Drosophila melanogaster: one gene and its partner. The protein of the gene in region 1 interacts with the protein of each later gene in a pairwise test. Each region holds a gene or a part of one and is shown on either strand. Other genes may lie near its edges.

What was found.
Region 2: the proteins of Bro (region 1) and run interact in binary tests that used the Drosophila melanogaster proteins (3 or more experiments, as listed by UniProt).

The regions. Positions count from the first base shown.
Region 1 is NT_037436.4:1,646,276-1,649,113, forward strand, and holds Bro (brother), read left to right. Parts: upstream 1-1,593; 5' UTR 1,594-1,629; coding exon 1,630-2,271; 3' UTR 2,272-2,337; downstream 2,338-2,838. Other genes in the region: CG17249 (uncharacterized protein), read right to left, coding at 1-1,125. UniProt on the Drosophila melanogaster protein: Regulates the DNA-binding properties of Runt.
Region 2 is NC_004354.4:20,689,126-20,696,693, reverse strand, and holds the start of run (runt), read right to left. Parts: upstream 6,025-7,568; 5' UTR 5,682-6,024; intron 2,584-5,681; 5' UTR 2,002-2,583; coding exon 1,293-2,001; intron 884-1,292; coding exon 60-883; 3' UTR 1-59. UniProt on the Drosophila melanogaster protein: Plays a pivotal role in regulating the expression of other pair-rule genes such as eve, ftz, and h.

The DNA of each region.
Region 1 (2,838 bases):
CACCAATGCGTCCATGGCCTCTGCGTTTAACTGTTGCTCATGGTAGCGCTTTTGTGCAATCTGAGACTGCTCTTCCTGAAGTCGGGCGGCTTCTGCTTCGGCTGCTTCCTTCTCGGCTACCTCCTCTAGGTACTTGCTACTGGCTTCCACCATCTTGGCCGCTCGCTTGGCCACTAGAGCGCTAATCTCGTTGCTGCTCACCTCAGGCAGCTTTTGCTCGGAATTCAGGGAGAAAAAGTCTCCAGTGCCATCTTCGTCATCATCTTCACTATCGCTGGCATTTACCAGCGAAGTGGGTTTACTTATAGGTTTGGATTTTGTTGACTTCAAAGCGTCTTTTGTCTCAGGATTCTTCTTGTGCCCGGCCTTAGGGCCATCTACGCCTTCGGTGTTGTGTGCAGCTCGTCGCTGCTTAACTGTATCGGGAACAAAAGCTGGTGCTGCTCGAGGCTGCGCAGGATTATTGCTTAGACTGGAAGCAAGAGTAGTGCTGGCTGATGGGTAGGCTACCGCGGATGAAGAGTTCTTGGAGAAGTTGCGCTCCGACTTTGCTTGGGGCAGCAGACTCAACAATCCCGATCCCTTGGGTACATTGGGCTTATCAACTTTGTTCTTAGCCCTGTCAGCTTTCTCCTGGTCTACATCTGAGAAATCTCTTAGTGAAGGAATGCTGATTTTTACTTTTCCCTTGACTGGCGGCGGTGGAGGTTTCTCTATTTCTACGGGCAGCGCCTTTTTGTGCAGAAACTCATCGTCTTTCTCCTCTACAATGGCTTTTCCTTTCGCTGCTGTTCGTGGCATGGGCAGGTTGGCAAAGGCGGAAGTAACCTGGTTGTCCACATCCTCATTTTCCAGATCCTTAGCGGGAGCAGTGACTTTTGGTTTGGGTAAGGCTAATAGCAGTCTTCCGTTGGGCGGCTTTAACTCCTGAAGGGACACTTCCTGGGGAACGTAGTCGTCATCTTCATCACTAATGTGACCACTGGTTGATTCCCGAGCTAGATACGCTTCACTTGGTGTGCTCGGCTTGGCTTGGGGTTTTATTACTTCCACTTGTGGTACAGAATTTTCCTCTTCGTTCTCCGAATCTTCATCAGAACTGGCAGCATAAGCAACAAGCGACATGTTTATAAAATTGCTAAAGTTAAACAATACAATACACAACAGCTGTTTAATGTGCCCGGACTCTAGAGTTGTCACCTGCTTGGGCTGCCATGGTTGGCAACTCCCTTTGCTTAAGCGCTGTGCTAACCAACACTGTTAAAATTACCGCTAAAACGTAATTTCGAATTTAAACTTAAAATTATATAGTGCGTTCAATTCGTTCGTTTTATTTATGATAGCATTATACCTGCAATCCTCAAAGTATAATATTCGGAGCTGTAAAAACCCTACGGATTATAAAACAAACCTCAAATAGGATACTTATAAGTGCTATACCTGATCCTTATTGTGTCCAGATGGTTTCCATCCTTGATTACCAGGCGACAATTAGGGGATTCGTTAGGTAGCCCAATCGCTCCCGATTACCTGTTCTACAACTTTTTTTTTTTGTTTAAATAAGGCGGTCAATTTTAACATTGATCAGTACAACTATATCTTTCGGAGAATACAGTTATAACATTAGACATGCATCATCACCAGAATCTCGGAGACGCGGCCGCCATGAATGGAATGATCCCGCCATACGAAGCCATGGCTATGTACGAGCAGCCCAAGCCCAGATTCATCTTCAAGATGCCCCGCGTGGTGCCTGACCAGAGGTCCAAGTTCGATAGCGACGAGCTCTTCCGCCGATTGAGTAGGGAGAGCGAGGTTCGCTACACAGGATACCGGGAACGTGCAATGGAGGAGCGCAGGATGCGGTTTGTCAACGACTGCCGCAAGGGCTATGCGGAGATATCGATGGTAGCTTCAGGAACTAATCTGCAGCTCTACTTCAACGCCAACCACAATCCGTACGCCCAGGAGCAGGATTGCGATTTCGAGCGGGAGCGGGGCAAAGTTCATTTGCGTTCTAGTTTCATCATGAACGGGGTGTGCGTCCGCTTCCGGGGCTGGGTGGATCTGGACCGACTGGATGGCGCTGCCTGCCTGGAGTTCGATGAACAACGAGCCCAGCAGGAGGATGCTCAGCTGCAGGAGCAGATTCAAAGCTACAACCAGCGCATGGCTGAGTCCAGGAGAATCTACCACACGCCCCAGACTCCACCCGAGGATCACCATCACAGAGGTGGGCCTGGTCTGCCTAGAGGACCAATGGGATGGTAGTGCTATATATTACCCTCATAGCTTTAAGTAACATCTAAGTAAATCAACAATAAATATCTGAAACCCATTGATCGTGCTCTTATAATACTGAGATTATGTTTAATACACTAATGGTAATATCTGCTCTCAATTACTAAAACTCTCATTTCACAAGGAGTTTCCGAGTTTTGTGTGTCATTCATTTGGCGAAAGCCACTCATGTTCACCTAATGATTGTTTATCTGGGCCTCCTTAAGGGTTGCTAGCCGGGGTCTTTGGCCTCATTTGCGCCACTTTCGGAACAACCACCACCCGAGCCGACTGCCCGAGGATGGTGAAGTGGGTCCAGCTGCCGTTCCGCCATTCCGCCGTGCTCTCCACTCTCCGGGGTGGGCCTGTCGCGGCTGTGGCTGCGGCTGTCCTCTCTTGACTCTCGATGCGGCCAGAGCACCGGTCCCGTGAGCACGTATTGATTTTCCGCCATTCCGTTTGGGATGCTGCCGAAATAAACTTTGCAACTGCTCTGAATGTGAATCTGAATCCGAATCCGAGTCAGTCTCTTTCCGAACTGAAAGCGGAAAGGCGTCG
Region 2 (7,568 bases), on another chromosome or scaffold:
CGCCGCTGTTATATCACTTTGTTTTCTTCATTCCTCCAGATTTTTGGGGATCAGATGCCCTAGTAGGGCCGCCACACGGTCTTCTGCTGCACGGCGGCGCTCTTGATCTTGGTGGTCGTTTCCGGCGACGGCTGGCGGCTGTTGGCTACCGCTCCAGGACCGCTCTCGTGGTAGAGCGGCTTCATGGCCGAGGGCGCCTTCAGGTCGCAGCGCATGCGAAGTGGCGCCACATCCAGGCTCTTGTCCAGGTCGAACTCCGATTTGACCACGTCGATCTGCTCGTCGTCGGAGTCGCCGTCACTGGCGGACTGCTCGTGGATGGAGCTCGTCTCGATGGAGGTGTTTAGCTTCAGCAGGACGTGTTGCTGGGTGGGCGAGGAGCTGGAGGGCCTGGAGGAGGCGGGGCTGACGTGGACCGGCTCGCTCTGGTGGTGCAGGGCAGCATTGCGGGCCCGCAAGCCAGCTGCCGCGGCAAAGTTATACGGATGGAAGGCGTGTGGCGTGGCTGCCTTGGCGGCGGCTGCGGCGGCCACATGGTTGAATGGGAACTGCGGAATGGCATAGGGCGTGGCAGGCGCCGCTCCCGGTGGCGATGGCATCATGGCCGCCGGTTGTCCCGCCGCCGCTGCCACTGCTGCCGCCGGATGGGGATACTCAGATGGCTGAACCGCCGACGAGGAGCTGGTGGCCACCGATGGATTGGGATTTGGCGACACCGAGGAAGCCGAGGACTTGGCCAGTGCCGGATGATGCACCTGGGCCGCCTGGGCGGCTGCCTGGTGGCGGAAGTAGTCCGCATAGCCGTAGGTCATGTACGCCGCATCCAGCCAAGCGGGATTCAGCATGAACGGGTTAAACGCGCCGGGATGGGGATAGCCATAGCCTGGAAGGATAAAGAAAAAGGGCGGGAAGTCAGTAAAGCACAACTCGTATTTCATCGGAATGCGTTTTTAAAAAGGTTGGGGGGATGGTGGGGGATTTGGTTGGCGGCAATGGATCTCAAGATCCTTGGATATGTGTATCAAAACCGAATTGCAAAAGGATAAGCAAAAATAATGATAAAATCTTTAAGATAAAGTGATCAATGCAATCATTTCAAAACAGACTGATCATTTAAAGTTGAGCTTAAAAATGGCATTAGTTATTTAAGATCATAACTAGTTAGTGTTGGCAAATGTTTTCAAAACTATGAATATTGTAATTGAAGATATGCAAACGGTTTCTGAATTGGTTTTTTGGGGATCTTTGGGAGTGGATTAAACTGAAAACATAATGGAAACTAAAAAACTCACTTTGCTTACTTCTTGGCTCCCGTGGCCCGTCGACGGTCACCTTGATGGCTTTGCTGTAGCTGGCGATCTGCACCGGATAGGTGGCAATGGTGATGGTCAGCGTGAAGGACTTGCCGCGTCCCGATCGTCCCACGAAGCGCAGATCGTTGAACTTGGCCACCTGGTTCTTCATGGTCGTGGTGCAGTTCCTCAGCTCGCCGCAGTAGTTTTCGTCGTTGCCGCACTTGATGGACACCAGGGTGCCATCGGGCACGTCGTCCAGGGCGATCACCTTGAAGGCTCCGGGCAGCGACTTGTTCGACCGCCAGTGATTGGGCAGGGCGCTGCAGAGGATCGAGGGCGATCCGGTCTGGGCCAGCTCGCCGTGATACTCCTGCAGCATCTCGTGCAGGCTGGCGAACATGTCGGTCATCGAGCTGGGCATCTTGGCGGAGTTCTGCGGACTGGTGGTGGCGTTGCTGCTCGAGCTGGTGTTGTTCGTGCTGAGATCTGGTGTGGAGCTGCCCGTGCTGCTGGCCGAGTGGGTGCTCGTGTTGGCCAGACTCTGGGCGGGATTGATGGCGATTGCGGAGGCGGTGGTGGCATTGCTACTCTGCTGCGGCCCAGGACCCTGGGCTACCGCGGCCGCTGCGGCGGCTGCTGCGGCGGCGGCAGCGGCCAGGACCTGTGTGTTGTTGGCCACCATCGTTGGACCCGCTGGCAGATGCATCTCGTATCCGAATGTGGAAATCGTAGCCGTAATCCTGGGGCTGTCGACAATTGCCGGTTTTCTATTGCGGATTCTCGGTATGCACTTCACTTTATCGGGGGTCACTTGGAAAAAATTCGTTTGTTTGTTGTTATTGGATTGTTTCGCGATTTCGAACTCTGCTTCTTTCGAGCCTGTTTCTGTTTTCCAAAGTCGAAAACGATATATTTCTCTGTGCGTTCTCGACACGCTAAAGTCGCTGAGTGAACTGATTCTCTGCTGCGATCGTTGGCAGTATTTAAAGTGGAATGCGCTGCTCGCCGCCTCTGTCGACGGCTCTGCCGGCGTTTGTGCCCCGTCCCACTTGCACGGCGCTAGCGCCGTCTCTTTCCCGCCCATTATCCTGGGCGGTATGGTGGTGTGGTTGGCTACCTACGCACACAGGCGCGCCTTTAAGGGTGCCGGGGCAGGTATATATCGGTATATCGAGCAACCACCATTGCCGCCGCAACAACAACCACAGCAAAAAATTTCCCATTTTTCCATTGCGGTCTCTCTGTGTGTTTGTGTGTGTGTGTGTGTTTGGCTGTCGTGTTAGTGTGCCTGTGTACGTGAGAGAGAAGTCGCTTGTTACTTGTGGCCAAAAAGGAAAAAATAACAGCGGAAAAAAGGAAAATCGCATGGGCGAGAGCGAGAAAGAGAGAGAGAGAGTGATGGCCTGGAAATTGCACCAAAGAAAAACTCAAAAAAGAAATACACCGAGACTTTTCCACTCTCTCGCTCTGGCTCTCGCTTCCTCTCTCGCTTTTCCCCACGGGCGGTCTGGAAATTGTGTGCGTTTTCCTTTTCTTCGCTTTGAATTTTATTTTTTCGCCACGCACGCCAAAAGAAAAACGGCCGTGCAACAGTTTCCCATTTTCCACTTCCAGCGGCGCGCGTGTTTTGGCGGCCCTCCTGCGGAGGGGTTCGTCGAGGGGGGCGGGGGCGGGTGGTACAGGTAGGCACCCATGGCCAAACGGGGGGTTCCCTTCACCATCTCCTTCTCGTTCCCTTGCCTTCCCTTTCCCGAGTAGCTAGGATGCCAGGGGCGTCCTGCCGACAGGACATGAGGACTCAATTAGTCAGTGCGAGGAGGGATCAGGTTGCGAAATTATCATAAATATTATCACAAGCATCAGGAGAGCTATATCACTATGACTTTGGGATAAAAGGATTTAAGCCTTTTAATTTCATGGGTGATACGATTGTGGAGTTTGGAAAATTTTGGAACATGGGATTTTCAATTATGATAATAATCTATAGTACATATAGTACACACTATCCCATACTATCATAAGATGAATTATATTTTCCTTTATATTTGTATTTATTATCATATATTTAATTGCTTTCGAAGGTATCTTATCGATTAAGATGAAGATGCCGAAAAAAATATAATAAATATAATAATATATATATATATATATATATAATATATATATCAACATAAGCACGATATTTTAAATACATCATTATTAGTGCTACAAATCGTTTTAATAATCTGTTCAAAAAACTAATCATTTCCAGTGTTAATTTTTTTTTTTTTGAATATGCATCAACGTTATCCATATAATTTCATTTCAAATAAGTTAAGTTAAGTAATTTAAGATCAGATCTAATTAATAAACATATACACGTGCATAACAGTGCGTCCCATTGTTCGAAAATGTCCCAAAAATTAGTGTTTCATTCAAAATAATCAGAAATCCCCGGCTGATCATATTACGGCACACTGATCCCTCAGTGTTGCTCAATGTTTTTCTCGATTCCGCCCAAAATTTACTTTATCGCCGATCTCGGAACTCGGAACTCGATCAACTGATCTGCAATCTCCGATCTGAATCTGTCCAACTAACACCCATTGTCAGGTCCGGTCCACTTCCAGTACTATCTAAGATGCAGTGCCATCGATCTCTCCGGGGATCGAACTTAATCCTAATGCTGATCGGGCGATTATCCTGCGATTAGTCCTGTAAATATTTGTGCGCCTCTCAGTTCGTGTGGCGCAATCCGGCTCGATTTCATTTCCATTTTCGCTGCCTGCGATCGCCGATCCTTGATTGGATCAGGTTTAGCTAGCTGATCGGATTTAATCTGATGCGGAAGTGTCATACTTGGAAGAACATCGAGTATCTTTGGCTGCCTACATTGAACTCTCTTCAAACTAATCTACGTTTACTTAGGTTTTAAGATTTGTACATTTTGCTTAGCGATTGGCTAAGTGATTAGCACATACATAGATAGTAATTCAGATTACGAAACTTAGCTTCAAAAACGAAATATGAACGATTTAATTAACTTAATGTAAAATGGATTAACTGTGTATTAATTCTTAAGAGCTGCTGAATAACACTTGACACTTGACTTGACAATTTAAAGTAATATTCTCAATTCCTTCAACACTCATTTCGTGCAGTGGAACGCAAATCAAGTGCCTGACTGGCCAAAAAATTGCGGCCCACCAAAACAACCTTAAAAACGAGGCCACACAGGACCCGCGAGTTTTCCGAGGTGGCGGACTCTTCCAGGCACCGCGTGGAGGAGGAGGAGAAGGAATGGGGAGCATGGCCATTCTGGTAGGGGAACTACGAGGCAAGACCAACCAAAATGTCGCGAGAACGCGCCGCTCTCAGCTGGACATTATAGACGCACACTTCCAGTAAATCCAGTGTATCGGCAGCGCTGCCTTTTGTACGTGCGCGGCCGCTCGCTGCGAAGGACCTCGTGTCCCTACACCGATTTCACACCATATAGCCCCGGGATATATGGCAGGACAGCGCAGGTTTAGCGGGCGTGCGACAAGGACGCGATTGCCGATGGCCGATTGACGATTGCCGGTTTCCCGGGAAATCAGCGCTCCTGTCGTCGCTTCTTGGATCCTGCTGCGATTCCTTGGCAATTTGCGACAGGAGCTGCCGCAGCACGCGCATCGCAGGACCCGCAGGACCGCCTCATAGGGATCACCGAGCACCAGGCAGTACCTGATCTCCATACCGAACTCGCTACGAGCCCACAGCAGCCAAAAGGATCAACCCTTTTTTTATGGGCCCTCCGATGCTTTTTTGCGGCCCCAAAAAAGTGGGAAAACTATGGGTTTACTGGCTTTGACGTACCTGGCCCTCAGATGTACCATCGCATGTACTGATATCGCACCTCAAAACAGGTAGTCCAACCGCGCAATCTTAATCCTTTGCTTATGAAAGTCAATCGCCCGGATTAAGCAGCACGCCCCGCAAATATTTTGGCCGATTAGCCGCCGCCACGGGCCATAAAATATGTTCCCAAAAAATAAGCAACGAGCATCTGATACGGAAAGTGCCTACCTGGCCACCAAAAACTCAAAGGACTTCGCTTTTTAGCGGGATTAACCGATGGGAGATTAAGGCGACAGTAACCTGTATTCATGTACTCAATATATGCAATGTTTTTCTCACTGCTGTTGAGCAGTTAATTTAAAACAAAAAAGAGCGAGGCTTAATTAGCTGAATTTACTTCTGTACTTCACCATAAAAAATCACTCCCGACTATTTCTTAGTGCAGATATTTTTTGTACAGTAGTTTAGTACGCAAGCTACTTGAATCTGTAAGATACGGTTTCATCTATGCAAATGTCGTGAGCGGTAAATAAAACTTCCAGTGCGATTAAAAGCTTCTGTACTTACCGATCTTACGCAATCTGAACTATATCTTAGTGCAGATTATTTAGAAAAGTATTTTAGTAATCAATCTACGATACAGGCTGCTAACTGTGAGATACGATTTCACTTATGCAAATACCGTGACGTTCCTGAATAAATTTCCTCGAAATGAATGGGTATCAGAACTACGATCTGTGCATTCCGCACCTCCGAGGAACGGACAAACCAGTACTCCGTTCATCCCCCAATCACCACGGCGATCAGTTGAATTATTCATATACGTGCGCAAGATCCCTCCCCCTCGCAGAAAGAGACGGCACCAGGCGAACGAAAGAGAGGCACCTACGCTCGAGGGGCTGGGGTAACCGCAGAGATCGGCCAACCGTTGGCGAGCAGATGCTACGGAAATAGCTGACATCCAAGAGGGGATGATTTATTAGTAGGGCGATCGTTATGGGAGAGAACGAGACGGCTGCGCCGATCGTGGCTCCGCCTCTCCTCATGGAGCTCCTCGCACAACCGTTATCCAGGCTATACTGAATGCACAGGGATCCCAGGAGCCAGGAGCCATTGACCACGGAGAACCCCAGAACCCCCAACAAAAATTACCGACAGAGAGCGGAAAACTCTGGCACCGTGGAAATTCCAGTGGCGCAGGGGAAATGCTCACTGCCACAGGAGAATAAAAAACAAAAGCGACTGCCAATCGAGGAACATTTTTGTACCCTTCGGTGTTTGGTTAGTTTAACTATTTCAAATGACAAGTGAACAATAACAATATTGATGCGTTTTTGAAACGATTATAACGACGAAAAACTGTTTTAACTAAGCATCTGTATAAAGTGAAACTGAAATTCAATTTAAATTATTTAATTTAAGCATGAAACATATTTTGTAGTAAAAAATTAAATATCTTTTAATAGCTCAAAAGCGTTTATAATAAATACAATAATCAATTTATTCAACAAATATTTGTAAAGTATTATAAAACGTGCATAAATGTTTTGTTTTTTTTTTTTAGGGAAAACAAACTTATTATTTCGTTATGAATATATTTGAAAATATACTGAAAAGTGTATTTAACAATTTGTGCCGCCAATTTGCGCATTCTTCTTTATTTACAAAAGGCAGCAGTGGAAAAGCGGAAAAGCGGGCAGCGCGGCGGCAGCGGACCGACTGCGACTGCGGCTGCGGCGTTGTGTAAGTGAATTGTGGTTTGTTGTTTTGGTTGTGGCGCTGGCAGTGCTGCCGGCAGCGACGTCGGCAGCGACGTCGGCAGCGGCTTCCGACCGCTCCTCCCCATCCCCCTCCCCCGCTGGCGACGTCATTCAACCCTCGGAAAAAATTACACCACAGCCGGTTCACCACTTTCCATTGGAAAACGCTTGTTTGAGTGATTTTTTTTCTGCGTTCTGGGGGTGTTTTTTATTTTCTTTCGTGTGGTGAAAAACGGGGAATGAGTGTGTTTCGGGTTTCCTTCTGTTTTTCTTTTTACCTTTTCCTTTTTTTTTTTTTTTTGGTTTTCTTTTTTTTTTTATTCTTTGCCTTTGCGACACTCCCACAAAATTGTGTTTTGGTTAGGTGGCCATGCATTGGCTGGCTTTCCACCGTTTTCCACACACTTTTCCGACTGCCAGCTGTTCTTTGGCCCGTGTGCGCTACTCCATCTTGGCCGAATCCCAGGATCCTTGGATTGCTTGGGACACATGTCATGGATTTTTCAGCGATCATTTGTGCTCCTTGTGTGCACATACATATATATTTCCTCAGTTTTCGTTGACTTGGCCCCTCTCTATTTACTTAAGAACAATGGATTTTTGGCAGGAACGATCCGTAACCATTTTGAATGGACTTTCTTTTGGGCCCGCGACAATTAGCCAAGGGAAAATGGAAGAGGCGAAAATTGGTGGG